3 linked regions of the Macaca fascicularis genome follow. The protein of the gene in region 3 binds, or shares a complex with, the protein of the main gene of each other region. Links are inferred from orthologs where the notes say so. Each region holds a gene or a part of one and is shown on either strand. Other genes may lie near its edges. The genes, in order: CAPZA2, CAPZA1 and S100B.

Evidence for each region.
Region 1: the proteins of S100B (region 3) and CAPZA2 are in contact, whole or in part, in a crystal structure (PDB 3RM1), measured with the Bos taurus proteins. The link is inferred for Macaca fascicularis from reciprocal best matches to the Homo sapiens genes S100B and CAPZA2. Residues at the interface, in NP_001029727.1 of Bos taurus: Ile37, His43, Phe44, Leu45, Glu46, Ile48, Lys56, Val57, Thr60, Phe77, Met80, Ile81, Ala84, Cys85, Phe88; in NP_001013016.1 of Bos taurus: Thr267, Lys268, Ile269, Trp271, Ile274, Leu275.
Region 2: the proteins of S100B (region 3) and CAPZA1 are in contact, whole or in part, in an NMR structure (PDB 1MQ1), measured with the Homo sapiens proteins. The link is inferred for Macaca fascicularis from reciprocal best matches to the Homo sapiens genes S100B and CAPZA1. Residues at the interface, in NP_006263.1 of Homo sapiens: Glu46, Glu47, Lys49, Val53, Lys56, Val57, Thr60, Phe77, Met80, Val81, Ala84, Cys85, Glu87; in NP_006126.1 of Homo sapiens: Thr265, Arg266, Ile269, Asp270, Trp271, Asn272, Lys273, Ile274, Leu275.

What each region holds. Positions count from the first base shown.
Region 1 is NC_088377.1:158,305,502-158,316,220, forward strand, and holds the start of CAPZA2 (F-actin-capping protein subunit alpha-2), read left to right. Parts: upstream 1-5,076; 5' UTR 5,077-5,166; coding exon 5,167-5,205; intron 5,206-10,719. UniProt on the Homo sapiens protein: F-actin-capping proteins bind in a Ca(2+)-independent manner to the fast growing ends of actin filaments (barbed end) thereby blocking the exchange of subunits at these ends.
Region 2 is NC_088375.1:121,752,744-121,763,451, reverse strand, and holds the start of CAPZA1 (F-actin-capping protein subunit alpha-1), read left to right. Parts: upstream 1-3,896; 5' UTR 3,897-4,384; coding exon of another isoform or gene 4,385-4,385; 5' UTR 4,386-4,569; coding exon 4,570-4,608; intron 4,609-4,634; exon of another isoform or gene 4,635-4,998; intron 4,999-10,708. Other genes in the region: ST7L (suppressor of tumorigenicity 7 protein-like), read right to left, coding at 1,253-1,335, 3,640-3,844. UniProt on the Homo sapiens protein: F-actin-capping proteins bind in a Ca(2+)-independent manner to the fast growing ends of actin filaments (barbed end) thereby blocking the exchange of subunits at these ends.
Region 3 is NC_088377.1:518,275-528,943, forward strand, and holds the start of S100B (protein S100-B), read left to right. Parts: upstream 1-5,100; 5' UTR 5,101-5,170; intron 5,171-7,721; exon of another isoform or gene 7,722-7,728; 5' UTR 7,729-7,729; coding exon 7,730-7,867; intron 7,868-10,646; coding exon 10,647-10,669. UniProt on the Homo sapiens protein: Small zinc- and- and calcium-binding protein that is highly expressed in astrocytes and constitutes one of the most abundant soluble proteins in brain.

The sequences.
Region 1 (10,719 bases), about 160 Mb from region 3:
AACATGGTGAAACCCCGTCTCTACTAAAAATACAACAATTAGCCGGGTGTGGTGGTGCATGCCTATCATCCCAGCTACTCGGGAGGCTGAGGCAGTAGAATCATTTGAACCCGGGAGGCAGAGATTGCAGTGAGCAGAGATGGTGCCACTGCACTCCAGCCTGGCAACAGAGTGAGGCGAGACTCCATCTCAAAAAAAAAAAAAAAAAGAAAAGAAAAAGAAAAAGAAAAAGAAGGTCTTCAATAATTCCTGAGTAACTCTAGAATGATCTATGTCAGGCTTCTCCAGGGGCACGACTTGTGTGTACCTTTTCAAAACTAGCTGAGGAAATGGACCACAGGTAGGATACACTCAACTATCAATAACTTAAGCAATTATTTGTTTAGAAAGACAATTACTTTTAAAATATATGTGATTTTTAACACTTTTCCAGAGCCATAAAGGACTTTACTTGAGACCAGTTGTGTTAATTAACCATGACATTAACAAACAACCAAATGTTAGTTGTCTAACATTGATAGTTTTTCTCAGAAGTGAGGTAAGTCAAACTTTTAAGCTGCAGATGTTATTTTTCTGGTGCAGAGATGGTATTATAGAAGTCTATATCTGGTACAATAATTTAATGTTCACACAGTAATACTATTAATCATCTTATTTTACATTATTTGATATGGATATGTACATGAAAGAACATGAGTCTGACCATCAGGATACTTGGATTTTAAAATAATATTAACTAGATATGCAATTTTTATTGTGATGTCATTTATTTATCTAAGGCTCAACTCATCTGTAAAGAGAGAGATTTGTAGTAGATGCACCCTAAAATTGTTTTTCTATGAAATTGGGTAACCTCTGGTCTTGACAAGTTTAAAATGTAGTTGAGTAATTTCAGTATATCCATAGGAAAATAGATGTAAAAGTATACAATTAACTTAAAAACAAACACTGTAAAAGGAAGAAAAATTCTGGTGATGTTAATTGGAAAGACCAAGATCAGACCACGAATAAGTAGAAGAGAGGTAAGTTTGGCAAGGCGCGGTGTCTCACGCCTGTAATCCCAGGGGTTCGAGACCAGCCTGGTCAACATGGTGAAACCCCGTCTTTACTAAAAATACAAGCATTAGCTGGGCATGGTGGCAGGCGCCTGTAGTCCCAGCTACTCGGGAGGCTGAGGCTGGAGAATAGCTTGAACCCAGGAGGCAGAGGTTACAGTGAGCTGAAATCATGCCACTGCACTCCAGCCTGGGGGACAGAGCAAGACTCTGTCTGTCTCAAAAAAAAAAAAAAAAGAAAGAAAGAAAGAAAAGAAGAAGAGAGCTAAGTTTGGAAATTAATTAAGAATAGTTAGAAATTCTTAGTAGGTAAAATCATGGATAGGATAAATATTTTGTTTATTTTCTCCTCCTCATAAAATAACTGATTATCCAAGAATACCAGTACATTTCTCCTTGCAGTCATATAATAATCATTTCATATTTTACCTTTTTGTGTAACAACTTAAACTCTTTCTAGAATACAGAGGCTATGTAAATTTTAGAATTGATTTTAATTGTGCCAAAAGGGTGGTATTGGGAGATTACTGAAAAGATTATCAGAAATTATACATAATTGTGGGTTGTGTCACTATGGCAAACCACATACAGTGATACATGTATTGTATCACTAAGGTTACAATTATAAACACACTCTGACTCAAATTATTGCAAAACATTACCATATTTGGGTGAGGTTTCTAGAGGAAGAGAGCAACCAATTAATCAAGCAATATTTGCTGAGTATCTACTGTATACAAAATACTAATATAGGTGTTGCCAAGTAAACAAGAGAAAAGAACAGAAAAAAACAAAACCAGAAGTACTGCTGATGCAGCACGGGGTGGTGAATTGAATTTACAGGATGGGATAGTAATTGCCTTCATTAAGTTTTATTTGGTGGAGAGTGCCCAGACTTAAGAGGAAGAAAGAAAAATCTTGCAGTGGAAAGAACATGAAATATAAAATAAGATGCCTAGGTTCCAATCCCAGCTTGGTCACTTAGGAGCTGTGCAATCTCCTTCCTTCCTTCCTTCTTTCCTTCCTTCCTTCCTTCCTTCCTTCCTTCCTTCCTTCCTTCTTTCTTTCCTTTCTCTCTCTCTCTTCTCTCTCTCTCTCTCTCTCTCTCTCTCTCTCTCTCTCTCTCTCTCTCTCCCCCCTCCCCCGCTCTGGAGTTTTGCTCTTGTTGCCCAGGCAACCTCCACCTCCTGGGTTCAAGTAATTCTCTTGCCTCAGCCTCCCAAGTAGCTGGGATTACAGGTGTGAGCCACCACTCCCAGGTAATTTTTGTGTTTTTAGTAGAGACAGGGTTTCGTCATGTTGGCCAGGCTGGTCTCAAACTCCTGACCTCAGGTGATCTGCACACCTCAGCCTCCCAAAGTGCTGGGATCTATGCAATCTTAAATCATTTAGCCTCATTTTTTTCTTCTGTAAAATGGGTATAATGGTAGTGATAAGCACCTTTCTTCATGAGGTTGCGGTGAGAAATCAATGAAGCAATGATTTGTAATCTGTAAGAGTAAATATGTTAATTTTCGTCCATTGTTACCCTTGGTTAAACTATGTGGTTTATCCTCTTTATCTTCTTCACAACGTTTATCATCGAAAGGACACCTGCTTTTTTCTGCCTGTGTCAGCATGCTTCTCCTTCCTGTTCTCTCCCCAAATGAACCATCAGTTTTTCAATAGCATAGCTGCTGCTTGCTGTCCATTCACAAAAAACAATGATTTGCACATTACGAACACCCAGTAAATTACTTAATAATAGGGTCGTGCATCTGAACATTTATTTCATACTCTCACATTTCATTTATGTGCAGCTGTCAGATTCATCTTGCTGCACGTTTCTGATCATGTCATGTCACTGTTCAAAAGTTCTCAACAGTTCCTCACAGAATCTGAACGCCTGTCTTAAACCCTAAGGCCTTACCACTCAAAACGTGGTCTCCAGATCAGGAACACTGGCATCAGCTGGGAGCCTGTTATTCCACAGGCTGTATTCTGGAGAAAACAGATTCTCCAGCCTCATGCCAGATCTATTGAATTAGCAACTTCATTTTCACAAGATTCCCAATTGATTCATATATATGCAGCTTTGATTACATGTTTAATCTCTCATAAACTTCAAGCTTCAAAAGCAGGGTTGCTAGATTTAGCAAATAAAAGTAAAGGATGTCCAGTAAAATTTGAAAACAATGAGTAATTTTTAAGTATGTCTCCAACGCTTCATGGGACATACTTTTCAAAAGATTGCTTATCTGCAATTCACTTTTGATTAAGTGTCCTATATTTAATATGGCAACCCTATTCAGGAGGGTAGGATCCATGTCTAACATAACTTTGTATTCCCCTGGAATAGTACAGTGCCTTCCCCAACTGTTTTTGTTTTGTTTTGTTTTGTTTTGTTTTTTGAGACAGAGTCTCGCTCTGTCACCCAGGCTAGAGTACAGTGGCGCGACCTTGGCTCACTGACACCTCCACCTCCCAGGTTGCAATGACTTCTGCAACTCTCCTGCCTCAGCCTCCCCAGTAGCTGGTATTACAGGCATGCGCCACCACTCCAGGCTAATTTTTGTATTTTAGTAGAGATGGGGTTTCTCCATGTTGGCCAATCTGGTCACGAACTCCTGACCTCACATGATCTGCTGCCGAGACCTCCCAAAGTGCTGGGATTACCGGCGTGAGTCACCACGCCCGGCCCCAACTGTTCAATATATGTTTGTTTAATGAGTACAAAAATGAGCTTCTTGAGAACAGAAGTTTCTCTTTTTATTTCAATAGTTTTGGAGTACAGGTGGATTTTTGGTTACATGGGTAAGTCCTTCAGTGGTAATTTCTGAGATTTTAGTGCACCCATCACCTGAGCAGTGTACCCTGTACCCAATATGTAGTAATTTATCCCCTCCCCAGTCCCCAAAGTCCATTTTATCATTCTTATGCCTTTGCACACTAACAGCTTAGCTCCCACTTATAAGTGAGAACATAAAATATTTGGTTTCCCATTCCTGAGTTACTTCACTTAGAATAATGGCCTCCAGCTCCTTCCAAGTTGCTGCAAAAGGCATTATTTCGTTCCTTTTTATGGCTGAGTAGTATTCCATGATGTATATACCCACATTTGCTCTATCCACTCATTGGTTGATGGACACTTAGGTTGGTTCCATTTCTCTGTAATTGCGAATTGTGGTGCTATGAACAGGCGTGTCTAGCTTGTTTTTTTCTCCCTCAACACTATAGCCCCAGAGACTAACACAGTGCCCCGCACCCCGTTAAAGGACCAGAAAATATTTGTTGGATGAATAAAGGAATATATAAAGAGCAATCTTTCAATTATGGAGCGGGTCGTGTGTGTGTATTTTAATGAAAGCCGACTATTTAATTTTTTGTTTGTTTGTTTGTTTTTTGTTTTTTGTTTTTTTTTTGAGACAGAGTCTCGCTCTGCCGCCCAGGCTAGAGTGCAGTGGCGTGATCTTGGCTCACTGCAAGCTCCGCCTCCCGGGTTCACGCCATTCTCCTGCCTCAGCCTCCCGAGTAGCTGGGACTACAGGCGCCCGCCACCTCGCCCGGCTAGTTTTTTTGTATTTTTTAGTAGAGACGGGGTTTCACCGTGTCAGCCAGGATGGTCTCGATCTCCTGACCTCGTGATCCGCCCGTCTCGGCCTCCCAAAGTGCTGGGATTACAGGCTTGAGCCACCGCGCCCGGCTATTTAATATTTTTTTAAAAACAATGTTTAAAAAGCTTCTATTTGTCCACCTTTTCAGATTTTAGCTGGCAGAGTTCAAGACTTGATAGAAACATAACGAAGGGCTCAGAATGTACTCATCGCAGACTGAGCCCATATGGTCACTGTGGGGAGAGAACGTTACACTCACGATGCTAGCAAGCCTGCTGCAGGCGGCCCCGGGAGACAACGTCCCCCGCCCGGCCACCAGGCACCCGCGCACGCGCACAGCCGCGCTCAGTCCCCGAGGGCCGGGTCGAGGGAGGCGGGGCTCTCGGGGCGCGTGCGCGGCGACCTGAGCGGCGGGCCCCTCCCTTAGCGGGGGCGCGCGGCGCTGAGGACCGCACGGAAGCGGGGAAGTCAGGTGGCCGCTGCCGCCGCCGCCGCCGCGGTTTGTCGCCAGAAGGAAGATGGCGGATCTGGAGGAGCAGTTGTCTGATGAAGAGAAGGTAAGAGTCGTGGGGGTGGCGGCGCCGGCCGTCGGGAGCCGGCTCAGCCCGGGCGGGTGGGCCCAGAGTCTGGTCGCGGGGGATGGGCATTGGCTCGCAGCTGGCGGTGCCCTCGTCTGCCCTTCTTCCCCCATCCTTGCTGCGCCGAGTGCCTGCCCCTGTCCGTCACCCGAGGCCCCGCGCGGGGGCAGGTCTTTGCCAGGCCTGCTCGCTCCGCTCCTTGTAGGGTGTGTACTCCGAAAATAGGAAGCGGGAGCCGGGCGACGGCGGGCGGGGGCGCGGGCGCGGGGGAGGGCGGCGGCTGCCCGGGACTCTCTCCTGCTATCCGGCCGCGGAGCCTGCGCCGGGGGCCGGGGACCGGGGACGCAAAGGGGTCTGCGTCCGTGCCTGGGAGCGGCCCAAGGGCAGTGCCCAGCGCGGCGGCCTGGCCTGTGAGTGTAGCGGCGGGTGAGGGGGAAGGGAAAAATCGCTTAGGAAGCAGACCTTCACTTCTCCCTTCTACTTCCCCCTCCCCAAAACAAAACGCTTCCTTTTCTGATTCTCTACGGTTTATCCCTTTTTTTTCCCTTTCCCTATGGAGGCCTCTCTCTCTCCCTCTCTCTTTCGTTTCATGGCTCTAGCAGTAAGCTTTGCAGCTCCCATGTTCCCCGGGAGGCAGCGGAGTTGCTCACAAAAAGACGACCCCCTCCCCATAGTTGTTTTCTGCCCACGTTGTCAGCATTCTCCCCGGGGGTCGATTTGGTGTCACGTCACCTTCCTGCTAGGACTTCTTCCGAGAGGGGAAATTGTTCTACTCCTTTTACTGTATGTCAGATGCTGTGACAGCAGTGGAACCAGATGAACTACTTAAGTTCTCAGATATTTAAAAGGAGCAATGGAATAATTCATTGAACTGCTGCTCTCTTAATTCGCCCCTTTCGTTTGGCTTTCGTGAACGTCCCATTCCTGAGGGTGGTGGGATAGGGGAGAACCCTGCTAATTTTGACTGTTTCTCGGAAAGGACACTGACGTTTCTCAAACTTAGAAGTAACTGACAGAACATACGAGTGAGTTAGTTGTAGGGTTGGAAATGTCCACTCTTCGTTAAAGAGTGCTCCATTTTTAAATTTCAAAGCAGTACAGCCAATGGAGGAAAATACAGGTACATTTAGGTACGTTGTGGTGTTTAAGAAATCCTCGTGTAAGTCTAAGAATATTTTCATTTGGGACCCTCTGCTCTAGGTGTTTTTATATGCTGTGTTCTTGCACCGAAATAGAAGGTTCTGTCCCATTCCCAATGTGAATGGTCAGAAGTCAGCCTCATCTTTATTTTCGGAAATCTGTCTTTCTCTTGTGTTGTTTGGTGAAAGTGATAATACAACAACAAAATGGGGGCGAGCAACGTCTCCATAACCCACAGACCCAGTAGGCAGATCCCTGTATCCACAAAAGTTGCTATACAGTATTGAATGTATAATCTTGGTAAATAACCCTAAGTAGGTGACTGAAAATGTACAGGAGTGCACAAACGCATATTTAAAATTGAGTCGTGCTAAAAAGCTTAAAAAGAGATTGTCGTGTTTTTATTCTACCATTCTTAAGTGGTGATTAGTAGCTCAAGTGGCTAGAAATCTAGCTGAAGAGAGAATACTCAGTGTGGGAGTTAATAAGACCTGCCATGTGTTGTAAAGGCCTAAAATTAAAAAGTTTTTTAAAAATGAGATAACAAGATGCCTTATTATCCGGCACTCTCAGGGCACTAAGCTTCATAAAGAGGAATGAGGAGGTTCTATGTCTTAAAGCCTGCGCCGCCTAGTAGCAAAATGTTTTATGGTTAAATGAATGAAAATTCTAATTTGATTTTTGGTGTTTTGTAAGAATATTATGTAGATATTTTACATATAAATTTCATCACTATATTTACTAATTTAAAAACTGAGAAAACTTTTAGGTTAAATTCAAGTAACCAGTTAAGTGAAATTTTAACGTTCTTGTCAATTGAGATATCTAAAGGTTGTTTTCATTTTGGGGCAGGAGGATGTGTCCAGTATGGGATCAGAAAACAGAGAGGACTTAAAAGTGATATTTTGATATTACTCTTTCTACGCCTTATTGGTAATTTTCAAAAATAAGCTGTCAAGCTGGGCATGGTGGTTTGCACCTGTAATGCCAGCTACTCTGGATGCCAAGGTATGGAGGATTGCTTGAGCCCAGGAGTTGTAGACCAGCCTGGGCAACAAAGCGAGACCTCATCTCTAAAAAAAAAATACTAAGTTTTGAATACTTTTAAGTTTTTGAGATTTCCATTCTAGATTGCAAATCTGAGGAAGGGAAGCTGTTAAGATGTATCTAGTACTGTACTTTATATATGCTTGGCTCAGTTAGATCCATTCATTACTTAATTTGTTGTTGTAAGAGGTAGTTGTTCTATTTCCATTTCACAGATGAGTAGAGTGAGGTTCAAAAGCTTTAAGTAGTTCACCCAAGGACAGTCAAGATGAAGGTCTTGTTACATTATGCTCTCTTCTTTTTTTTTTTTGAGACAGAGTCCCCCTCTGTTGCCCAGCCTGGAGTGCAGTGGTGCAATCTCGGCTCACTGCAACCTGTGCCTCCTGGGCTCAAGCGATTCTCCTGACTCAGCCTGCTGAGTAGCTGGGATTACAGGCACGTGCTACCATGCCCAGCTAATTTTTGTATTTTTAGTAGAGGCGGGGTTTCACTATGTTGTCCAGGCTGGTCTTGAACTCCTGACCTCAGGTGATCCACCTCCCTCGGCCTCCCAAAGTGCTGGGATTACAGGTGTGAGCCACCGTGCCCAGCCGACATTATGCTTTCTTAAACAAAATTGATAAAAACCTCTTCTGGTTTTGTCTCTTCATTTTTAATTTGTTGACAGCTTATTTTGAAAAAGGAGAAACGTTGGTTCTTCCTTTTTTCTTTTTTAGACAGGGTCTCACTCTGTCACCCAGGCTAGAGTGCAGTGGTGATCATGCCTCACTGCAACCTCAACTTCCTGGGCTCAAGCAGTCCTCTCACCTCAGTCTCCCCAAGTAGCTGGGAGTACACGCAGGCGTGCCACCACACCCAGCTAATTTAAAAATTTTTTTTATAGAGACAAGGTCTCACGATGTTGTCCAGGCTGATCTCAAACTCCGGCTCAAGCAATCCTCCCACTTGGGCCTCCTAAAGTGCTGGCATTACAGGCATGAGCCATGATTCCTGGCCCTTTTTTAAAAAGTAATACCAAACAAGTAGTGTTAAGTTCTAAATTTTTGTCTTGATCATTTTAGAATAAAGCTTATTATTAACACATTTAAATGTGTTATGCTACTGGTAGGAAGCATTTTAGAAATTAATCTAGAATAATAGTTTTGCTTTTTAAAGTCATACACAATTGCTTTTTAAGGCTATCACTATGAAATTTAATAACCTTTTCTCCTTTGGCCACTGGGTGAATGGGAAATACATTTAGCTGAAGACCACAATGAAGTTCTTTAAAGCTCTTAACTTGTATAGTGTGTCCCATAGACTTTTTTACATAGTTACAGAAACCCTAGACCCAAAACAGTTCATTGTCATTCCTGGGTCAGCTGTATTGTACAGTAAAGCATTTTTGTGAATTTGAAATTATATGAAATAGTTGTGTAAGACTCAATTGAAAAGACCCATTCCGAAACCTCTCTCTGGATGAGAGATTCAAGTTCCAGAAGGAATACACTTAGTTACTGATGGGAAAGGATCTTTTTTCTTCCTGTAACCCTTTACTTCAGTGATTACAATAATCTATCCCATAGCTTCAACTTTTACGTCTTTGCAGATGTCTCCCAGGTACATAGCTGTAGCACTAACTTCTTTCCAGATTACTGGTCAGATTTTTATCTGCTAGTCATGTTCACTGGAGATGGTTAATTAGGTACGTACAAATGGAGCTTGCCTAGAAGTAAATGTATGAACTCCCTTCTTCTTTCCTCTCACACAAAGGGGGATATAATCTATCTCTCTTGATAATTTTTCTCTTTATATCTTTATTCCCATTATTCCAGTCATCCTGGTTTTTAATTTCAGCTTTATTCTAACTTTTTTTGGCCCCGTACCTTACAATCAACTGGTAAAAGTTGTCACTTCCATCATCAAAATGTATTATACAAATAACTTATTTCTTGCTTGAAAAGTCAATTCATTTATATTAATACTTGGTTTATTATCTCTTCATTGACCTGATTATTAAATAATGTTTGGTAACAAAATTTCACTGTACAAACAGAATGCAACTTGATTATACTTGTTCTGTGCCAACAGTTAAGAAGTAAAGTCAAGAAAAATTTCTCATATCCATTCTTTCCCTTCTGTTGTATTTGCCACTGTTAGGCTTTTACTATAAAGTTTCTAGACTAATTCCTCCTGTTTCCTGTATCTAAGCCATGCTTTATTGTGTCATTTATCTACTCTCAAAATTTTAGTGCCTGGATCCTCCATTGCCTTTACAAGGAAGTCCAGCTCTTAAAAAATGGTATTCATGGCCTTGTATTCCATTTTAACCGAAATAGTTCTGACATTTTCAATATATATTGTTACTTAATCGTGCTGTGAATTTAGAGAGACTTCAGAGAACTGCATACTAGTTCATTTCTCTCTCTCTCTCTCTTTTTTTTTTTTTTTTTTTTTTGAGACAGATTCTCATTCTGTCACCCAGGCTGGAGTGCAGTGGCACAATCTCAGCTCACTGCAACCTCCGTCTCCCAGGCCCAAGCAATTCTCCTGTCCTCCTGTCTTAGCCTCCTGAGTAGCTGGGACTACAGGCACATGCCTGTGTGCCTGGCTAATTTTTGTGTTTTTAGTAGAGATGGGGTTTCACCATGTTGCCCAGGCTGGTCTGGAACTCCTGAGCTCAGGTGATCTGCCTGCCTTGGCCTCCTAAAGTGCTGGGATTACAGGCGTAGGCATGAGCCACCACTCCCAGCCACTGGTCCATTTCCAGCACCTCAGATAAATTATTTAATCTTAACTTCAGTTTGCTCTGAAATGTTAGAATGTGGTAGTAAGTTACCTTCTTCATTAAGTTGTTGTAAGTCTATTGGGCTTGGCATGTAGTAAGCACACAATAAATTGTAGTTATTTTTCTCTGCTCATGACTTTTCATCTACTTTGAGTATTGGCACTGCTCCCAGGTCTGTCCCCTTTTTTGAAACATGAAAATCTCAGTCATCCCTTAAGATTTAGCTTAGATTACACAGCTTTTTTAGCCTCTCATCTGAACTCTACAAGAGATCGTTAGTATTAAATACAATTTTGCATAATAGTTATTTACTTACTGTTTTTTCCCTTTTCCATTGGAATTCCTAAGTGCAGAATAATGTCATCTTTAGCATCTCTCATTACTCTACATGTGCTGAATAGCATGGCTCTATCTGTAGTTTATATACTTCTCCCTTAGTGACTGGCTTCAGAAATTTTGTGTATGTAAAAACAATAGAAGCTGCCATTGTATTTCATAATATTAATGTAAAATTAGAAATGCTCTTATTGGCTGGGCGC
Region 2 (10,708 bases), on a different chromosome or scaffold from region 3:
CTACAGGCACGCACCACGATACTGTTACTTTTTATATTTTAGTAGATGGAGTTTCACCATGTTGGCCAGGCTGTTCATGAACTCCTGGCCTCAAGTGATCTGCCTGCTTCAGGCTTCCAAAGTGCTGGGATTATAGGCATGAGCCACCACGCCCGGTCTATCTGGGTTCTCTTTAAATCATTTGAAAAATTGAAAAACCTGGTAATACTAGTTGCAAGTCTATATGGCAACAATTAGTTTTAGCCTCTTTAATTTTTTTATTTTTCATTTTTTTTGAGACGGAGTTTCACTTTTGTTGCCCAGGCTGGAGTGCAATGGTGCAATCTTGGCTCAATGCAACCTCCGTCTCCTGGGTTCAAGCGATCCTCCTGCCTCAGCCTCCTGAGTAGCTGGGATTACAGGCATGCGCCACCACCCTGGCTAATTTTTTGCATTTTTAGTAGAGACGGGGTTTCTCCATGTTGGTTGGGCTGGTCTCGAACTCCCGACCTCAGGTGATCCACCCGCCTTGGCCTCCCGAAGTGCTGGGATTACGGGCTTGAGCCACCGCGCCCGGCCTTAGCCTCTTTTAGAAGGGGCATGCACTGTCCAGGCTACCCAGTCCTCAAAGAAATAAGAATTTAATTATTAAACTCTATCCATTTCACTCATTTTTGTTACCAACTTGGGCTCTGCAGGCATTTAATTTCCAGTACACCCCAAGCCCTCCCTGACTACAGTTTACAATAAGCCTTTAATATGTAAATAAATACTGTCAATCTCTAAAAGTAGATTGGGAGATGCAGTGTTCCCCAAACTTGTTTGAATAGGTAATCTTTTCAAATGCTGAATACATTTTAGAAATGCTGATCCATAGGTAATAATAATTTATAAATATTATAACCATATAAAGGATCTTTAGGCCAGGGTGGTGCCTGATGCCTGTAATCCCAGCACTTTCAGAGGCCAAGTCAGGCGGATCACCTGAGGTCAGGAGTTCGAGACCAGCCTGACCAATGTGGTGAAACACTGTCTCTACTAAAAATACAAAAATTATCTGAGCATGGTAGCCGGCACCTGTAATCCCAGCTACTCGGGAGGCTGAGACAGGAGAATTAGTTGAACCTGGGAGGTGGAGGTTGCATGAGCCAAGATCATGCCACCGTACTCTAGCCTGGGCGACGGAGCAAGACTCCGTCTCAAAAAAGGAAAAAAAAAAAAAAATCTTTAGATAAATACCAAAACATGAAGGAAGGAAATGGAAACTACTTACAAATATTAGTCCTGATATCAATGAAGATGTCCCTGTAAGTGCCACATAGAATTTGGGTGTCAATGAATTTAAAAATACAGTCACTGTCAAAAGAACAAGAATCAAAGTTTTAAAAAATGCAAATTTAATGTACTTAGGTTACAAATATGCGAGTATCTTTATGAGTGATGGGACTTAAGTCGTATTAATATCTAGTGTGAAATTCACTTGAAAAAGTTTTAATTTGTATACATAATATACATAATGGCTTATAACTATTTGCAACAAATCAAAATGAGGTAATTCAGCTTGCTTTAAAGAATAAAACTAAAGCACTTATAAGTCATAATTTAGACAAGAACGTTTGCAAGTCTGTAAGAATAAGAAGATAAACAAACATGCTTTTACAAAGGAGGTTCAAAACGACTCCATAATTATTTTGGTAGGATACAAAACCACTGTCTCAAATTAGAGGGAAGGAAACAGTGTATGTATTTGGCATATCAGCTAGAGAGGCAAAATGGCTCAAAGAGAAAAGCAACAAACAGAAATCTCCCTGACTTACTGAAATCCTGGAGCAGATTGTTCACTTCAAATAATTATCTCATAAGTACGGTGGGTTTTAGAAAGAAATAAAAATCTGGCCAGGTAGGATGGCTCACTCCCATAATCTTATAGTTTTGGGAAGCTAAGGCAGGAGGATCGCTGGTAGCCAGGAGTTCAAGACCAGCCTAGGCAAATAAAATAGACCCAGTCTCTATGCAAAATTTAAAACTCAGCTGGTCATGGTGGTGCACGCCTGTAGTTCCAGCTACTTGGAAGGCTGAGGCCAGAAGATCGCTTGAGCAAAAGAGTTCAAGGCTGCAGTGATCTTGCCACTGCACTCCAGCGTGGGTGACAGAGGGAGACTCTGTCTCACAAAAAATAAAAAAGAAAAAGTAAAAAAGCAAAATCTACAGTAATCAACTATTCTCATCTAAATGTATATGGTTAACATGTAGAAAAATAAATGACAAGTCGGCCGGGCGTGGTGGCTCACGCCTGTAATCCCACCACATTGGGAGGCCGAGGCAGGCGGATCACGAGGTCAGGAGATGGAGACCATTCTGGCTAACACGGTGAAACCCCATCTCTACTAAAAACACACACACACACAAATCAGCCAGGCGAGGTGGCGGCCGCCTGTAATCCCAGCTACTTGAGAGGCTGAGGCAGGAGAATGGCATGAACCCGGGAAGCGGACCTTGCAGTGAGCCGAGATCGCACCACTGCACTCCAGTCTGGGCGACAGAGCGAGACTCCGTCTCAAAAATAAATAAATAAATAAATAAATGACAAGTCAATCAGTAACACTGTGCATAGAAACCGCCGTTAAGCACTTCATTCACCTGTTACAGAGATGCCAAGTTAGCTCTTCAGTTTAGCTTATTTTAGTGTGCTAGTTATATTTGAACTTGATACCTTATCCTCCAAAAAAGCCAAAATATTTCCGAACTTTACCTCACAGTCTTTCATGTTATCTCTGAACAGGAAAGGGGACATTCGCTACCTTCTGCTACAGAAAAATCAACCACTGTACTGAATCATATAACAGAAATACTTCTTTCTTGTTCTGAGGTTGCTGCTCAGAGCTTGAGTGAAATATAATCACATGGTAAGGGGATCTGGGCCCTAAACACTTTATCCCGTCTACAACTAAAGAATAGTACAGTATATGAGAATCCATCAGGATCATCACTTCTTACATGTGTTAGTATTTTCAGCACAGACTACATAGCAAGTGTTCTACAGATGTCGAAAGAACTAGCAAACCGACAGTTGTTTGTGGCGCTCTCTCACTTCCTGTACTACATTACTCAAGATAAGCCTAAAAGAACAGACAAAAATATCACGACAACTATTTCTTAACAGAACTATTTTAAAACAAGAGAATCGTCAATTAAAATCATGCCATTTTCTTTCTCTGAAATCTTTAAATTACAGATGTGCTCATCTTTGTTGCCTGGATATGAGTTCTCTCAGCTGGGCGGCGAGACACTCAAAGCAGTGACTTTATGGGATCCTACCAGAGGCGGGGGAGCCAATATAAATTACGTATCCTAATCTGAGAATGCACCCTTCTGTCCTAATACCTGAAGCTTATAGCTTGTCAGGTGGCTTTTCCACGGAAAAACGAGGACATAAGAGAAAGGACGGACCTTAAGAGTTCTAGGGAGGAGCCGGTAGAGGCAGCAGGCTTGACAATCAATTGCAAGGTTGCAGTCCAAAAGAAAAAGAACCCACTTGATCGCTCATCATCGACTCCTCAGAGGCCCTCTAGGACTACCGAGAATCTCTTGCCCTTTGGCTCTTGCCCCCGACATCTCTCCTGGCCCCCCGCCCTGCCCCAGGAGGTCTGGTCCTCTCACCCGCTGCCAAATTCTCACACAGCCTCAAAGGGATCCTCAGAGCGTAAAGCAGCCCCAGCCCCGCCACTAACCACACCGAGACCCCAGTCCCCGCCAGCCCGGCTCGCAGTCGCTCCCTCCAGCCCAACGTCGGGTTTAGGCCGGGGACAGGTGCAGGAGACGCTCTAGCAGCCGCGGCTTCACCCGAGCCGCCACCGTCCGCCATCTTGCCGCTATCGCAGGAGCCAGGAGCTGGGAGGGGAGAAGGACAGGAAACCGGGAGTCGGGAATCCTGGGATAGTGGCGGACCTGAAGTTGGCCTCTCTGAAGGCTGAGTCCTGGGGAACCCGGACCGAGAAGATTTCGAAGGTGGAGGAGCGTGTCTCAAGATTGAGGATACCTATTCCTTTGTGGGGCAGGGAAGGGGCGGACAGCAGCGCCTGTTCTGGAGGAATTGGACTAAGATGTGACCCCAAAGTGAAGTATTACCGCTTCCAAACGAAATGAGGGTCACCTTTCACACCCCCGCCCCCCGGGGTTGGAAAAGCCACCGATCGTTCCAGCGGCCGAGCAGCTCTTAGAGCTTTGGATTCGGCTGTCGTGGAGATAACGGGTACCAGAAAAACTGCAAGAGCGACTTGGTCGGATGGAGGCCAGGAGCCAAGAATAATCGAAACACGCTGCCAGCACCCATTAGATGGATGGGAAATGAGTGTAACTCATTGGGAAAGATATTAGACTTTAAATCACCGAAGGCAAAGCCTACTTCCTGGGGCGCGGGCGCGGGCGCTGGCACTAGTAGACGTCACTCCCGCGCATAACTGACATGGCGCCCTCTTGGTCGGCGTTTCCGGGCGGGTCCTTCCGACGGCCCCCGCGGTGATTCCATCACTCGGCTTTCTTCCCGGCCTGCCTAGCGCCCACAGCCGGGCTGGGCCAGAACAGCCCAAGATGGCCGACTTCGATGATCGTGTGTCGGATGAGGAGAAGGTAAGGGGTCCGCCTCTCTCTCTTACCTCCTCCCCCGACAGGGAACTGGGGCTCGGCCCGGCTGCGTTGGGAGCCTCGCAGTGTCCCCAGGAAAAAGAAGCTTCTTTGTCAATGCTGACATACGCTCTCCGCAGTCGGGACGCTTCCCTCTTACGGGGCTTTCCTCTGCCTCACGGTGGCCCCAGTTCCTCGTTCCTCGACTCTCCTTTTCTCTCAGGCCTGAGGCACAGCCCAGGGGCCTCCCTGCGAGGGAACAGACGTTTCCTTTATTAGATCGTGACTGTGGACTTTTTTCCTGTAATTTTGAGAGTGGGTGGTGGTTATGTTGCTACATATCAAAAAGCAGTTATTTTACCGCCTTTAGCAGTTGGTGCTAACCCCCATCCCCCCATTTGTAGATATAATTGGGGTTAGTTTAGGGCGAGTCACTTCCTGGTCAGGATGGCCTCTTCCTTTTTGCTCCTCCTTCCTCAGGAAGTGATTTTGCTGTCACGACTCCTCGACAAGGAGAGGTCCCAAATGTTGTCCACCTCACTACACATGCAGTACTTTTCTCAAGTACTGTCGCCTGTCTGATTCGCTATAATAAATCTGTGAGCCTCAGGGCATGTGCTTCACAATTTGAGCACTAGTCTTTCCCTGTAGACACACCCTTTTAACGATAATTTTTGAAAATTTTGTTTCTTGTTAACAAATGTAGAATAACTGATGGATTTTCTTAACCTCAAGAAAGATTTTCTGTAACAGATAATAAACTGCATGTTAACACGTTCAAGACTTGACAAAGCGTCCTGCCTTCTCTGGTGCTCCACTGTGGAGTCTTTGATTAGCTGAATTTGTCAGTGTGCAGTTTGTATACTTATTTCTTGAAAAGCGTTTTAAATACAAGAGCACATTCTAAGGTGGAATAACTTTTCTTCTGACATTTGCACAGTTTCATAACAGTTTTGTCAGGCTTTTCAGTAAGTACATGATTTTAGGGCACGTGGAACTTAGAATGACCTCACGAGACAACTTACTTACAAGAATTATGACATTTGTCTCCTGCTGTGGCTATTGGAAAATGTGTCCCCTTGAGTGCTCTGTAAATCTACCAGGGTGTTTTTTTAAATAAGAAGTTGGGATGGGGAGGGGACTGTTATGATCCATAAGTCCTCTGCACCGAATAACTTGATACATCATACCTACATATGGCATGCCATTTTGAAATGCTTAACAAGCCATTGAACAACAGCATTAGATTTTCTCTTATTTGGAAACTGATCTTCATACATAAGATTTAGGACAAAAACAAAGACATATATGAGCTTATGCTGGAAATCAATCTATAATAAATTGTTCTAAGGCAAATAGTTACTATTCAAATAAAATTAAGCAAAAATCCTGTTATAATACAAATCCTGTTACAACTAAACAAATTTTTTTTTTTTTTTTTTGAAACGGAGTCTCGCTGGGCTCACTGCAACTTCCGCCTCCCGAGTTCAAATGATTCTCCTGCCTCAGCTTCCCAAGTAGCTGGGATTACAGGCACCCGCCAACACGTCAAGCTAATTTTTGTATTTCTTGTAGAGACTGAATTTCGTCTTGTTGCCCAGGCAGGTCTCAAACTCTTGGGCTCAAGTCCATCCGCCTCCGCCACTTAAGTGCTGGGTTTACAGGCGTAAGCCACCGCGCCCGGTCAAAATTCCACAAATAATTTAAATAATAAACTTTTAAGTTTATTGTGCCTACATGATACACATTGACCAGTGTTGTTGGATTTTTGTCTTCGATACCAGGTTAGAATGCCTTTAATTAAACTTGGGAAAGTATATTTTTTAAAATGCCAATTAAGATGTCTTTAAATACTGGCAGTGTTTTAATAACATTAACGTGTTGGGTTTTTTTTGTTTTGTTTTGTTTTGAGTTGGAGTTTCGCTCTGTCACCCCGGGTGATGTGCAGTGGTGCGATCGCTGCAACCTCTGCCTCTCTGGTTCCAGCGATTCTCCTGCCTCAGCCTCTCGAGTAGCTAGGATTACAGGCGCCTGTCACCACGCCTGGCTAATTTTTTTGTATTGTTAGTAGAGACAGGGTTTCACTATGTTGGCCAGGCTGGTCTCCAACTCCTGACCTCGTGATCTGCCCGCCTTGGCTTCCCAAAGTGCTGGGATAACAGGCGTGAGCCACTGCGCCCGGCCAGTCTTGGTTTTTTTAATAGCAGATCTGTGACCAGTTTCGTCTTCTAGCATAGTTTTTTTTGTTGCCAAATATATTTCAATATTGCTTTTTATCTTGGTTACATTTTCTAAAGGCAGTAAACCTTTAGAAAATTTGGTGATAATGAATGGACTCTAATTTCCTTATAAATATGTATGTAAAAGCTAGTAAAATCATCTGTTCTCATAACTGCTGAAGTTTTTTTAATCACTTTGTAAAAAGGAAGTTGGGTTTTGTTACCTGAAATGGTCATGATGAGCTATCTAAATAAAACAGGAAGTTGAAAGTGTAGTAACTTTTAGAAATAAACGTTTTAGTTGTAGCTTTGAGTTCACAGTTTCTGAGAATGAACCTGAGCTCTTTAGTTACATGCTTAGCAAGACAAAGATACCATAATTAGGAAGCCTGAAATATGAGATGAATTACTTCTTTGGGTTCTTTTCATTGTCTGTTTTTTTTATTTCATTCAACATTTGTAAAACATAAAAGCAAAGATAATTTTCTGGAAAAAAGTGTGATTAGCATATTTTTTCCCTTTAGCCTAACTAGAAGAATATTTGTGTACAATTTCAAAAGTATGGTAATTGAGAAGTTATGCTTTCAGTTTAGACTAATGCTTTCAGTAATAAGGTGACGTTTTCAGTATTAAGAAAAACTACATGCTTTCAGTTTAGACAACGGTAGTGGTTTTAAGGCATTTTTGAGAATCAAGTTTATCAGAATTATTTAGTAGAGCTGTAGAAAATGCTGTAAAGAGATGAAATATGAAGGCTCTGTTAGAGCATATGAAAAATATTTATACTTTTTTTTTAAACAGAGTCTCGCACTGTCTCCCAGCAGGTTGGAGTGCAATGGCACGATCTCGGCTCACTGCAACCTCCACCTCCCGGGTTCAAACGATTCTGCTGCCTCAGCCTCCCAAGTAGCTGGGATTACAGGCACCTGCTACCACACCCAGCTAATTTTTTGTATTTTTAGTAGAAACAGGGTTTCAGTATGTTGGCCAGGCTGGTCTCAAACTCCTGACCTCATTATCCGCCCTCCTCGGCCTCCCAAAGTGCTGAGATTACAGGCGTGAGCCACTGTACCCACCAAATATTTATACTTTTAAACTGGATCCTTGATTATGTATTACCTCCATAATTTGCTAGTTACCATTGTAGGATAAAGCAAGCCCTAAAGATTGTTTGGTGTGGCTGCTTTCTAACGAGTCATCAATTAATATTAAAACTGTCATTCTTCCATCTTCACTTTTCAGTTAGCTTTGCTGAGAGGTATTCATATAATCTGTTAAGAAATCCTAGGACAGGCTGGGCTCGGTGGCTCACGCCTGTAATCCCAACACTCTGGGAGGCCAAGGTGGGCGCATCACCTAAGATCGGGAGTTCGAGACCAGCCTGACCAACATGGAGAAACCCCGTCTTTACTAAAAATACAAAAATTAGCTGGGCACAGTCGCGCATGCCTGTAATCCCAGCTACTCGGGAGGCTGAGGCAGGAGAATTGCTGGAACCTGGGAAGCGGAGGTTGCGGTGAGCCGAGATGGCGCTATTGCACTCCAACCTGAGCAACAAGAGTGAAACTCCGTCTCAAAAAAAGAAAAGAAAAAGAAATCCTAGGACAGGAACATAAAGCCTAATAAGCAAGTGTAAACTCACATGTCCAGTCTTTTGTTAGTAGTATTGATTTATCATAATTTCTTCCAGAACACTTGGCTGTTTTATTATGACTAGGCTTAATGCTAAACAAAGTAGTGTAAATTTGTCAGAAAATTCAGATCCCAGGTTTTTCTGATTGTGTAGCCATGCTTTTTTCACTATACTGTTCTTTTCCATATAGCTATGAATGAAAAACTAGAGTAGAGGCTTCCATCTAATGGATTATAAACGAGGTAGTATGGGTCGGGGGTGATGGCTCACGTTTGTAATCCCAAACTTTGGGAGGCCAAGGCTGTCGGATCATCTGAGGTCAGGAGTTCGAGACCAGCCTGACCAACATGGTGAAACCCCGTCTCTACTAAAAATACAAAATTAGCCGGGCATGGTGGCACGCCAGCTACTCAGGAGGCTGAGGCAGGAGAATAGCTTGAACCCCGGAGGCGGAGGTTGCAGTGAGCCGAGATCATGCCATTGCATTCTAGCCTGGGCAACAGAGCAAAACTCCATCTGAAAAAAAAAGGGGGCGGGGGAGGTATTATGATGTAATGGAAAAGAGTGATTGTGAGTGTTAGATTTGGCCTTTCCCTGTCGTGCTTCTAGTCACCTTGTGACTGATTTTGGAAACATCACTTAACCTCTATGGGTGGGCCTTAATTTCCATCTAAAATAGAGAAGTAGGGGGGAATTGGATCAAACCAGCCCAAGAAAATTTAATTAACTATTTCAAACTCTAATGAAAAATCTCTATTTTAAAAATTGAAACACTAAAATGTTCCAAAAGGTTCTATTCATTGTCTGCTTTCCTACATTTGCCCTGATAAGAAGACTGAGTTGTTTGATGACTGAAAGCATGTGTCTTTATCTAGTGCCTATCATAGTGCCAAGCACACAGTGTAGGCACCGCCTATTGATATGAAAGAGAAAACAACTTCATTAATTCTCATATCTCCCCAGTTCACACCCCTTCATCTCCTATAAAACAACCCTTCCCCCACAATTGTTTCTGTTAGTCTCTAGGTGTTTCTTGTGGTCAAGAGTACGTCCACAGTTTGGGTGCCTCTGTGCATTCCTTGTATCTGAGCATCTACTGACATCATTGGTGCTCTGCTATGCCACTGCTGGGAACATTTGACCCCTCTAGGAGCATCTTCCTAATAGATCCCATAAACTGCAAAGCCTTATGGTTACCAAAATGATGGTGTGTATATATACACTGGAGCCTTGCAAAGCCCCTAATGAAAGTATTTCCTTCACCAGCTGGAAGTACTCTCCTTTAGCGAGCAGATTAAAACACACACCTGATGTGTGTTTTAAAGAAAAAGGACCGAAGAGAGAAAAAGTTTCCAAGGCATGAATGAATTAAGAGTGACAGATGCTACTGAGATAGAAAGATGAGGACAGAGAAAACAGCACTCACTCTGACAGTATTCTTTCCAACTGGATTTGGTAAATAAGAGTGAGAGGTACCTCGAGTGAGCAGTGGGAGAAGTCATACTGGAAGGGGTAAGCAGTGATTGACATAAGAAAGTAAAATAAATTCAGGTTCATCCAGACACCCCCCTAATCTTGCCTTGACCCAGAAACATTGTGGTCACAGGGCTTTCAGCCTCCCATTCCCATAAGAAAGCTTCCTAATTATGATATCTTGGTCTTGCCAAGCATTTAGAGGGCCTTCCTCTGTAGCCCTCCAGATAGTGATTTGAATTAAGTAAAGCTCTTTTTAGATAAGTGTTCTAGTCCAGTCTGAAATCAGCTTGTTGGTCTTTTTGGCACTGTCATTGCCCAGTACCAGCACGTTCTTGGCTCCTTGCCACATCTCTGGCCACAATGTGGGAGGCAAAGGCAGTGAGCATTTCCAGAGTGGTGAGATGAGGCGAGGTCCACACAGCATCTCTGAACAGCATGTCCACACAGGGCTCAGAGTCATCATGCTGCATGTCCACCTCATGTCCACAGTATCTGAGCAGTTGAGATTGGTGGAGTGGACCTTCTAGTTATTCATCACCTAGAGGAAGATCCTCATCAACTCCACTTCTCAAAGGGGTGGAATTGAACCTGAACCTGCTTGACAGATGAGAGCCCAAGCCTAGCCAAGGTGGCTGCCTTGGTGATCCTCGTCCTGAAAGCCATTTCCATTAATTTAAAAATTGTAGGTATATAGGAACTATAATAACAGGCTTAAAATTGAAATTTGCTCTGTGTGGTGGGTCACACCTGTAATCACAATACTTTGGGAGGCTAAGCC
Region 3 (10,669 bases):
TGGGTAGCTGAAGGTCTGGAGTGTGCAGTGGTCAGCTACAGGCCCAGCCCAGGCTGCAAGGTCACCCAGGGCTGCCGTCTCTGTACAAGTGACTGGAACAGAGCACCACCAGATATACACATGCACAAGCACCATGATGGGCTGTGAAGTAGGAGCGAGACAAAGCAAAACATGTCCCACTAGAAGCAGGAATATAAGCCCCTTCAGGGAGGTCCATCACGTGGCTCTTTTTCACAGCCTTCCTTGTCACCATTTTTCCAGTCCTGTTCCTTTGAAATTGCCAACCAATCAAACCATTAGCAACTGCTGATGAATTAATACTGATCCATACTTTCAGCCACTTCTCACTCCAAACATAGTGGGCAATCAAGTGTAAGTTCTGCCCTCTGAAAGGATTTCCCTTCACCACTGTCCTTCAAGATAATCCTTGATTGTGGTTGAAGTGCTGCAGCTGTCCAGTCCAGGGTGGTACCAACATATCATGCCCATCTGTAAACCAGTCGTGAGCTTTTTTCTTCCATAGTCAACTGGCTGTAAGGTACAACCCAGGAGGCCATAGACATGGATTGAGACAGTGGAGGCAATGTAACAGGAGTTGGTGTCAAAGAAGTCTGAGTCACTTACTCATGCCACATTTTGCACCTTCAGATTTGCCTCAGATCAGCTTCATACATCATTTCCATGTGATGCTACGTTGCTGTTACACCCACACCCAACTTTATGGCCAGGTAGATCAGATAGCACTTAGGCTGCGTGGTCTCCTGATGTCCCATGGTTATGGCCCAGTAGCAAGCCAGATGCTGATTCTCAAAATGAGATCAGTTAGCTGCCGAAGAGGACATAGACTTACTCCAAAATCCCAGAGTTCTGTGCTGCAATTCTCCTGTGGATGCTTGTCAGATGGTCCACACTGCATTTCAGTGTGCCACAGGCACTTCAAATATCACTGGATCTACCGAATCCTACGAGTGAAGTGGTAAAGCAGCTTCCATGACAGCCTAAACTTTCTCTGACCCCCATTTGAAACTTCCAGCCTCATAGGCTGAAAGTAGCACATGCAAATATAATATATGTCGTATCTAAAATCCCCAAAGCCCAAATATATATCGTGTTTCTTTTTTACAGGAGGCAGTGCAAAATATATCAACTTGTTTTTCACTTGGAGGGGATATTTCAACATACTCCACACCTCTGAACCTGCTAGAAACTTCACTGAGGTGGAGGGCCCCTACATTTTGTGGAGATTATCTCCCACCTTTGCTACTTCCTGTTTATCAGATTCAATAAGCATAATATTGTGAATATTAGTGGACCAGTGTAATGTTTTGTGAACTGACCAGATGACTAGATCTCTGGAGAAAATATTATTGCATAGAACAGAAGAACTGGCATGTCCTTCAGGCAACACTGTGAGTGTATACCGTTCACCCTGTCAGGTAAAGGTAAACTGCTTCTGGTGGTTCTTGCAAATTGGTTTGAGAAAAAAGCATTAGTAAGATCAGTAGCTGCATGCAAAGTGCCAGGGAATATGTTGATTTTCTCAGTAGAGATTTCTCATCTGGCACAGCGGTTGTAAGTGAAGTCACCAGCTGATTACATTTGCAATGGTCCACATTCTTCATAATCCATATTGTTGGAGAAGCAGGCGCCTAGGAGAGTCAGAGTAATGCCACTTTAAGTTCAGCTCCACCTTGAGACTAACAAGGCACATTTCTTGCAGTCAAAACCCACAGACCTAAGATGTTTATAGCTGAGGAAACAGCTGAACGATACCTCCAAGGACACAACGGAGATTGCAGACATCCCAGTACCCAAACAATGTACGCTTTCAAGATAACAAGAGTTATGTTTTAATGTATGCACACGCTAAAATCTTAAGGATAGTTTTCTTTGGATCAATAGAATAATAATTTTGCCATGCTGTCTGCTCGCCCGCATATAGTCACAGCTGAGTTGAATCTTTATAGACAAAACCTCTATATAAGAAAAACTTAAAGACAGTGAATTCCTCTGCTTGCTTTCTGAGAATGCCCTACTCTGTAATGGAATGTAAGAGCTTTCAATAAACTCTCTTCTCACTTCACTCTGCAACTCACCTTGAATTCCTTCCTGCGTGAGATCCAGGAACACCCTCTTTAGGTCTGGATCGAGACCCCTTTTTCTGGTAACAGTATGAGTTTTGCACAGGTCAAAGTGGCCAGTTAAATGAGTTTGAACGAAGTGTCACAGCGCCTGCTTATTTCAGCTCTTTAAGGGTGGCATTAATCTCCAAAGCTCTTCCAGGGATTCACTATTTCTGGATAAGAAGGGGAAGTTCTGAGACTTTCACCAAACTTCTCCTACCATCATGGTCCTCATCTCATACATAAGAGAGTGAGTGAGGGGATTTAGCTAGTGTATGTTTGTTTCAATTATACAACCAGGAACTGAAAAACTAACTATAGGGAGAATAGTGTACCAACTGGGCCCCCTGCGAGTCGGTCTCGAGTTAGAACCTCTATCAAGTGAAGACCCGACCATCACAAGTTCCTACTTTGACTGGTGAGCCACAGTGACATTTTTGGTTCCCAGGAATTCATGTCAAAGGAGGCAATCCCTGAGACATCTAGGTTATTTCCTTTTCATTAGTTGATGGCTGCAGGGCACGTCAGAACAGGTGTGGAGGAGGGTTTGTGGTATTCTTTCTCGCTAGCACAGATTCTTTCTCAAGTGGCCTTGGCTTTTCCCTTCAATCAAGATGCCCTAGGTCTGACCCAACTTAGGTCTGGAAACTTGGAGAGAGCCCATGATCTCCACTGTGGTGATTCAAGGTAGGTATTTTGGTGACCAGACCTAGAGGTCTTCCTGTTGTGTGGATTAAAGACCGCTCTAGCAACTGTCCATCTCTTCATTCTGAGGAACACCGTGAGCAATTGACCACTGCCAAAAATCTCTGTGGACCAAGGCGTTTTGATTACTGGTGTGTTCCTTCTGCTGTTTATGGCTGACATGCCCACCTTGTCTTAGCCTGCTACTCTGAAATATTATCATCTCACTGAAATCAGAGGTCTAGTCCAGCAATCCATATGGTCATATGTAGGCTATAGACCATGGAACTTTTCAGGTGTTCCACTCACTCAACAATGCATTTCGCATTACTCAGTGAAGGGTCTTCCTGTGGAATATAGCTGCAGGGGGTGGGTGAATGTGCGAGTCACAGATAAGATCAAAACTGAGGGGTCAGGACGAGTAAGCCAGGGTGATCTGGAAGTGTGAAGGTCAGGGAAAAACACGCAGAACAATCCTGCCAAGGTGACTATGGTCACCCCTTTCACAGAAAGGCTTAGTAATTTATCCAAAGTCAAACCACTGTTAAATGGTGGAGCCAAGATTCAGACCCAGAAATTGTAGGCGTCTGTGGGAAGCTGGTGAGGTTGTGTCCACGCGCTCCCGGGGAGCCTGGGCAGACAGTACCATCCTGGGGCCCCAGAGTGCTTGGAAGTCCCTCTCCTTCCTGTGGCAGATCCTCTCTCTCAGCCTGCTCCCAAGACCTGGGAACAGGGTGGACCCACTGCCCAGCACTTGCCATCCCAGGAAGCTGCAGTGTGCTGAGGGCAGGCCCGCCTGGGCCCTCCTGCTGAACGCAGTGTCCCAGGCACAGGTGTACGGTCATTGCATGAGTGGGTTTCAAACTGTTTTTAACCCCTGCAGGAGCAGGCTGGAGCGTTTTCTATGGCTACTGAAGGGTGAATCCAGAGTTCAGGCTGCCACTCTGGGGAAGTGGTCAGCACTTACCGGAATGGTCCCTCCAACATCTGAGCGAGGAAGGGGCACAGAGCACAGTTGTGCCTTCCTTGGGCCTGGGCAAGCTCTGTGCTTCACAGAGCAAGCCTGTGCGGATCCTTCAGCAGAGACCACAGCCAGGGTTGGTGAAGCTTAAGAGGAAGTGAGGGCCAACCAACCGGCTCAGGCCGTTCCTCACAGGAGCCTGGGGCAGGCTGACCCACGCAAGACCACAGCTCTCGGCCCTGTGCTATTTCCAGGGCACACTTATAGATCCTGAATGGTAAAGAACTTCCTAGATAAAGCAATGACAGCAAAACAGCCGTGTACGCAGATATCTCGTGGGAAACCCTTTCACGGCCACTTCGAAACTGGGTTGGGAGAAGGACCTGATGCTGGGTCAGGCATCGGTTGGGGACCATGGACACGTTTGTAGAGTTTGGGCCAATGCTTTTGTGTAATTTGTCAGAAGGAACACCTACTTCCTCACTCTTGTGAGGAAGAACCCACAAACTGGCCCCCGTGTTCAGAGGCTCAGGTCAACAAGTTGAGGGGACAGCTGGACTTCTCCTTCTTCAGGCTGGCTGGAGCCTTCAGCAAGGGGTACACCGTCCACACGCCTCTGTAAAACAGCATTCGCACAGGACATCTCTAAGGCATTGTCCAACTCTGACAGTCTGTGACCTTCTACCCTGGGATGGAGGGAAAGGCCTTGGGATACAATCCACACATCATGTTTTCCCCTAAAAGTACCACCCTTTTTAGTCCCTGCAGACACTGGGTTCAGCAGCTTCTCTGAGGCAGCCCCGTTGAGCCCAGGGCCGACCACAGACAAGCACTACCGTCCACAGAACCTCACGCCCGGTGGGGCCAGACGTGGAGGCTGGCAGAGGAGAGAAGCTCCAGGGGCCTCTCCATTAGAAACCAGCTTGCAGGCCACTTAATCTCCTACGCTCAGCCTGTACTTGCAAGCTGCTTGTTCTTGGCTGCACATTTGCTTTGTTTGAATCAATTAATCCAAGTCTCTCTCCTCTCCCTACCCCCAACCTTGCCTTTAGGGGAACATCAATATTCATGTAATAAATAAATCACACAAAAAGCTGACTCCCCACTTCCTGCCCTACAGGCCCTTTTTTCTTCCTCAGCCCATGTGCAATCCTGGCTCCCAGCAAGTCCCCGGGGCTGCTTGGTCAATGCAGCCCTGTGTGCAGGCCTGGCAGCCCTGCCACCCCCGCCCTCGGCCCCCATTGGCTGCCATGGCCTGCAGTGGGCTGCACCAGGGTTCATCCGTCCTCCCTGGGCAGACGGAATAAGAGGCTGCCTCTGCCCACTAGACCTGCCGCCCAGGACCCGCAGCAGACACGAGGCCCGCAGCAAGGAGACCAGGAAGGGGTGAGACAAGGAAGAGGTGAGAAAGAGCCAGGCCAAGAGGATGCTCAGGAAGAAATGGTTGTTTTCGTTTGGGTGGAAGGGAATGGAGGGGTAGAAACTAAATGGTAGCTTAAAAACCCCCTTTAGGACAATTGGCAGCACTTCAGAAGTGTCAATAGGATGATGTGTTTTAATCTCTACATTATTGCTTCTTTGTGGACACCTGACTGCATCAGCCCTAGGCAGCTAGAGGTATTTTTCATAAATCAGAGAAACCTCAGGTCTCGGCCCAGAAGTGATTGCTGACATTTTCCCAGTGGTGCTACAAATACTACCTCTCCTGTAACTACTTGAAGAGTAAAGATTTTGCTTCCCACTGCAGCTGGAAATGATGGAGAACCTAATGCTAGTTTAGTCCATATCCTAAATAAACCCCTTTTCTCCTTGTTACTTTTTCCACCGCCCTGGGTAAGTAACTCTTCAGTTTTCCAGTTTCCCTCAGTTTGAAGTGCCAGGGTGACAACAGCCCCAGGACGCCACTCAGAAATTACGTAACAGTTACAAATAAATTGAGTCAAAGAAATTGGGGTTTTGGTGGGTTTTAACTTTCTTCAGTCTCACAGTTTCTTAGGGAGGTTGAACCCCTAGAGGGATCCTCACACGCTAGGTAACGTGTCTTTCTAAGGAGTTAAAGTTCAAATGTTCTCTTGTTCTCAATATTAAAAGATTAATGTAGGACATTCACAGAATGTGAGAAAGAAACATATTTATTTCCATTTCTCTTAAAAGATAAACTATAAACCATCAACTATTTATTAAGTCAAAGGGAAAAATTTAACAAGAATTTTTTAATTGATTTGTAGCGTGGTTATGAAGAAAACCATATTTTCTAGTGGTTTCTATTAGTGTTCTAATATATGGAATACATGTTTTATGCCTTCCTTTGTAATAATCTCGTTAGTCATAGTTCATAGAAAAACAATTTAACCTCCTTTTCCCCAAATCATCATGGACTTTGAGGAGCATCAGAATGATGTAAAAGTGTCTTGTTTTGTTTTGTTCAAAAAAAATACACACACATATATCAATAATTGAAAACTTGAGTGCAAAGAATAAGAAAAGCATGAAATGTTAAAGATTTTAATCCATCTTAACTGTTCTATTTATGAATTACCAAATTTTTAGGGACTCAAGAGCAAAATAAAGTACACTGATTATTAATAGAATGCCTTTAGCAAAGATCTAGCCAGCACAAAAAAATCTTCAATCCTGTTTCCTTTGGAGCATCAGAAATAAATAAAATTTTTAACATCTAATTCCAAATTATTTTTAAGATGTAAGTCATATATTCAACATGGGAATGATTTTTCAACACTATTTATTAATTTATTTTTAATTATAACAGTGCAAATGTTCTTATTTGATGATTAGAACTCAAGGCCAAAAGCTGGTAAATTTCTCGGCCTGCCCATCTGTTTTGTGAGACAACTGACAAGGCATCCTTTGTAGAAGGCGCCTCATTCCCAGACTGATGAGATATTTCCTTGGTTTGCAGGCTGTGGCGTAAGGTACTTGCTGTGAGGGAGGTCGGAGGGATCTTACTTTGACAGCTGCAGAGAAACACCTATTCCTGCCCCGTCCCAGTCACTGCAGTGAATGAACCAGCCTTTCCCTGCACTGGAGGTAGAATGCAGGCTCAGCAGCTCAGCTTCCTGCCGGATTCTGTCCCTCCCTGCCACAGAACCACACGCATTTAATCAGTTAAACTTAGGATACATTTTTTTTCCTGGTAGATCAAATAACTTTCACTGTTATTCTTCAAAAAGATTGTGGCAATTCTACCATATTTATTTTTCCAGATGAATTTTACAGCTGTTTTTGTCATGTCACACATCCAAAAAAAATTCCATCATTTTTATTAAAAATGATTTAAATTTACATATGAATTTAAAGGAAAAACTTCCTACATTTTATGTTCCTCCGAATCTCTTGGAAGGACCTGCATTTTTCTTCCTAAACTTAGTCTTAGATCACATGCTATTTCTATATGAATAGAATATTTCGCACTGGATTTTCTATTTCTTTATTGATAGAATATAGGAATGCTCTTGATTTTTGTCTTATTTTGCTCCTAGTCACTGTCTCACTTTCAGATTGATTTTAACAGCTTGTAGTCGATGGTTTGCTCACCTGCACTCTACCACCTCATCTTGGAGCCTTACAAGAACAGAGAGGGACCGTGTGGGGAGGAAGCAGAAATTTAACCCGTGAATTCCTTTGCTGCTCTGCGTCTGTATTTTTGCTAAAGATTCCCTGTTGGACCAACCCAACCAGAAGCCAGAGGGCATGGGAATATATCCCTGTGGCCCACAGAGACAGAGAAGGCTCACATCTGTCTAAGAGGCAGGTGGAAGGATTGATAAAGGTACAAATTCCCAGAATGCCCCTCCAGGTCATGCCTGCTGTTCTGAGCTTGAAAAGAGTGCCAGGGCCAGTCCATCCCCCTTGTCTGGGTTGCGGTCTGTATTGATAACCTGTGAAATGTTTTATGATGAGGTATAGATGAGAAGGCATCTTTCCTTTGCGAGCCCCTAGGATGTCTGAGCTGGAGAAAGCCATGGTGGCCCTCATCGACGTTTTCCACCAATATTCTGGAAGGGAGGGAGACAAGCACAAGCTGAAGAAATCCGAACTGAAGGAGCTCATCAACAATGAGCTTTCCCATTTCTTAGAGGTGAGTCTTGCTTTTTACACTTGACACCTTCTCCATCTCCTCTTAAAAAGCCACCGGTACACTGGCTTTATCTTCTCAGCTGCACTGAAGGTGATTTCAGTTTCCTTCCAGGACTCCTGGGCTGCTTCTGCAAACTTGTTTGAGTAACGGAACCTTCAGTGTGGGACTGGCTCATATAGGCCCCTTGTTTTCATGTCCTTATCAACCATCTTGTGTACAATCGGTGCATCAAGGTCCCAAAGGCCAAAGCTTCCCAAATAATGCTGGACTCATTACTTACCATGGGCCAAAGTGAACATAAAAGGAAACTGTTAAAAATAAGCTTTGGGAAAGTTTTTAGGAAAAGGATGTATTTTGGCTTAGCTAGATGTTTAGTATTTACTATGGAGATAAGACATGCCAGACTTTCACTCAGTAAACACTGACTGAGCACTAATTAAGAACTGTGAGATATGCAGGCATGACAGTCATGGCTTCTGCTCTGGGGCACCCACCCTGGCACATGGATGAATGACCATGACTGGCTTAACTGAGGGCGTGACAGGGGTCTGTACACATCCTTGGAAGCCCTGGGGCTTTGCAGGAGGCTCCGTGGAGTAACATATGTTGGTGAGGAACTGTCTTTAGTTGGGGCCCCTACTTTTGGAAGCTGTATGAGGGTTCCTGGTGAGCCCTGTTCTTCAGGCAGTTCCTGCTGTGGCTTGTGGTGGAAGTATGTCCAGACCCTTGCATTAGGACTCATTTTCTTACCCACTCTCTCCGCTGTCCTTGGATCAGACCCACCTGTCTTTACTGCCCACCTCATGCCCTCATGGAAGTGAACTGTGATCCCCCTGGTACCTGATGCTCTCTTAGAACCAAGGCTGGCTTGAGGCATGCCTTGAGCCAGAGTGAAGCACTGGTGGTGTGCACGTGTGAGATGCAATGAAGGGCTTCCTGGGTCACCGATATGAGCAATCACAAAAGGGAGAAATGACCAGAAAATGAGCCAGTGCACTAGTGTCTCACCAAGTCCTGATTCCAGCGTAAATACTAGGGCAGGGCTCTGCTGCATGGGAATGGGGAGCTGCCCTCCTAAGCTGGCCAAGCCTCTCAGTGCAAGACAGCAAGCCCTGGGCTCCAGCAGCCCAGCAGTCCATGTTTTCAGGGCAGGGGGATGGGGGCTGGCTGGTTCTCCTGTCCGCACTTCCACCAAACACCGCACCACTGTGAATGGTTCAGAGTGGAGCAGACAGGCCTGCAAGCTTGCAGTGGGCATCCCCACGTCTGATTCCAGGACTGGTTTTCTCAGGCATTCAAGTCCACAGAGTGACAGCAGTCCCACTCACAGACGCAGTTTTCTAGTTCCACCAATCATGCCTTCTGACTTGAACTGAAAGTCCCAGGTTCTTCTGAACAAGGGCTGTTGTGAGGATGAAACGGGACAGTGCTTAAGTGCTTAACATATAGTGAAAGCTCAACTAATAGTAGCTATTATTAATTATTTTTATACATAGAAAAAGCTTAGCATGTGGGAATCTCAATTTGTAAATGATAAATAATTCATGGTAAGCATTTCAAGGCATCACGAACATTTGCTCCCTGGTTTTATCAAGGTAATTTCAGTTCAGAAGCAGATCTATAATGTAATTGAAGTTAGTGCCCTGCTCCTGCCCATCCACAGGTGCCTCCCCACCCCTACCCCCATGGAGTTACAATCTTCTGTATGTTTTGTTTATTTAGTTTTTCAGATAAGGTCTTGCTCAGTCACCCAGGCTGGAGTGCAATGGTGCAATCTTGGCTCACTGCAGCCTCAACCTCCCAGGCTCAAGCAATCCTCCCGCCTCAGCCTCCTGAGTAGCTGGGAATATGGGCATATGGACCACACCCAGATAATTGTTTTTTTTTTTCTTTGTAGAGATGGAGTCTCCCTGTGTTGCCCAGGCTGGTCTCAAACTTCCTGGGCTCAAGTGATCCTCCTGCCTCAGCTTCCCAAAGTGCTGGGATTACAGGTGTGAGCCACCACGTCCGGCCCCTGTGTGTCTTATAGCCAAGGTGGCTGTTATACATCACACTTGACTTCTTCAGGCCAAGCCTTCCTGTCCCGGGGAATTGTTACTCTGCTCTTCATCAGTGTTCAATACCCAAATATTTCCCACTACATCTGTAGCCCTGCACTGTGGTTGTTCCTCTGAGGCTTTGTACATCACTTAATAGCCACGCCATTCATTCAGCTCCAATGTCAGGCAGAACTGTCAGGAAAAAGTTTCATGACACCTAGAAAGCAATTCGAGTGGGAAGAAGAATACAGGGTTAACAAATCTAGGACGTTCCCAAGAGTTACTTCAGCAACAAAGACGACTTTCAAAACATTGCGTTCCACTGGAAGTCTTTAAGACAGGGACTTCCACACACAGAACCCATGAAAAGTTTAGGAGGGCCAAAAGTTTATTTTTATTTCAAGACATTTGCTAGGGCTGATCTAGATGATATTCTTTTTATTTTTTTATTTTTTTATTTTTTTTCAGGTATTTTAAGTAAGATAACAACCTACAGTTTTTCACCTCTTGGCTGTTCCATTCAGCCTTTTCCAGTAGCCCAGGGCCAGACACTGACCCCCAGAGACGTCTACTTGGACAACAGCCCCCTGGTCACATGAGACATCTTTCCTGATATTTCGCATTTGATGTTCTCAGCTTACTGCAGACACAAATTATCAGTCACTCAACTTTTAATCATGTTTTGATGGTCCACAATTCCATTTAAAAACAAGGTTGGCAACTTCTTTTATCTCTCTTAGGAAATCAAAGAGCAAGAGGTTGT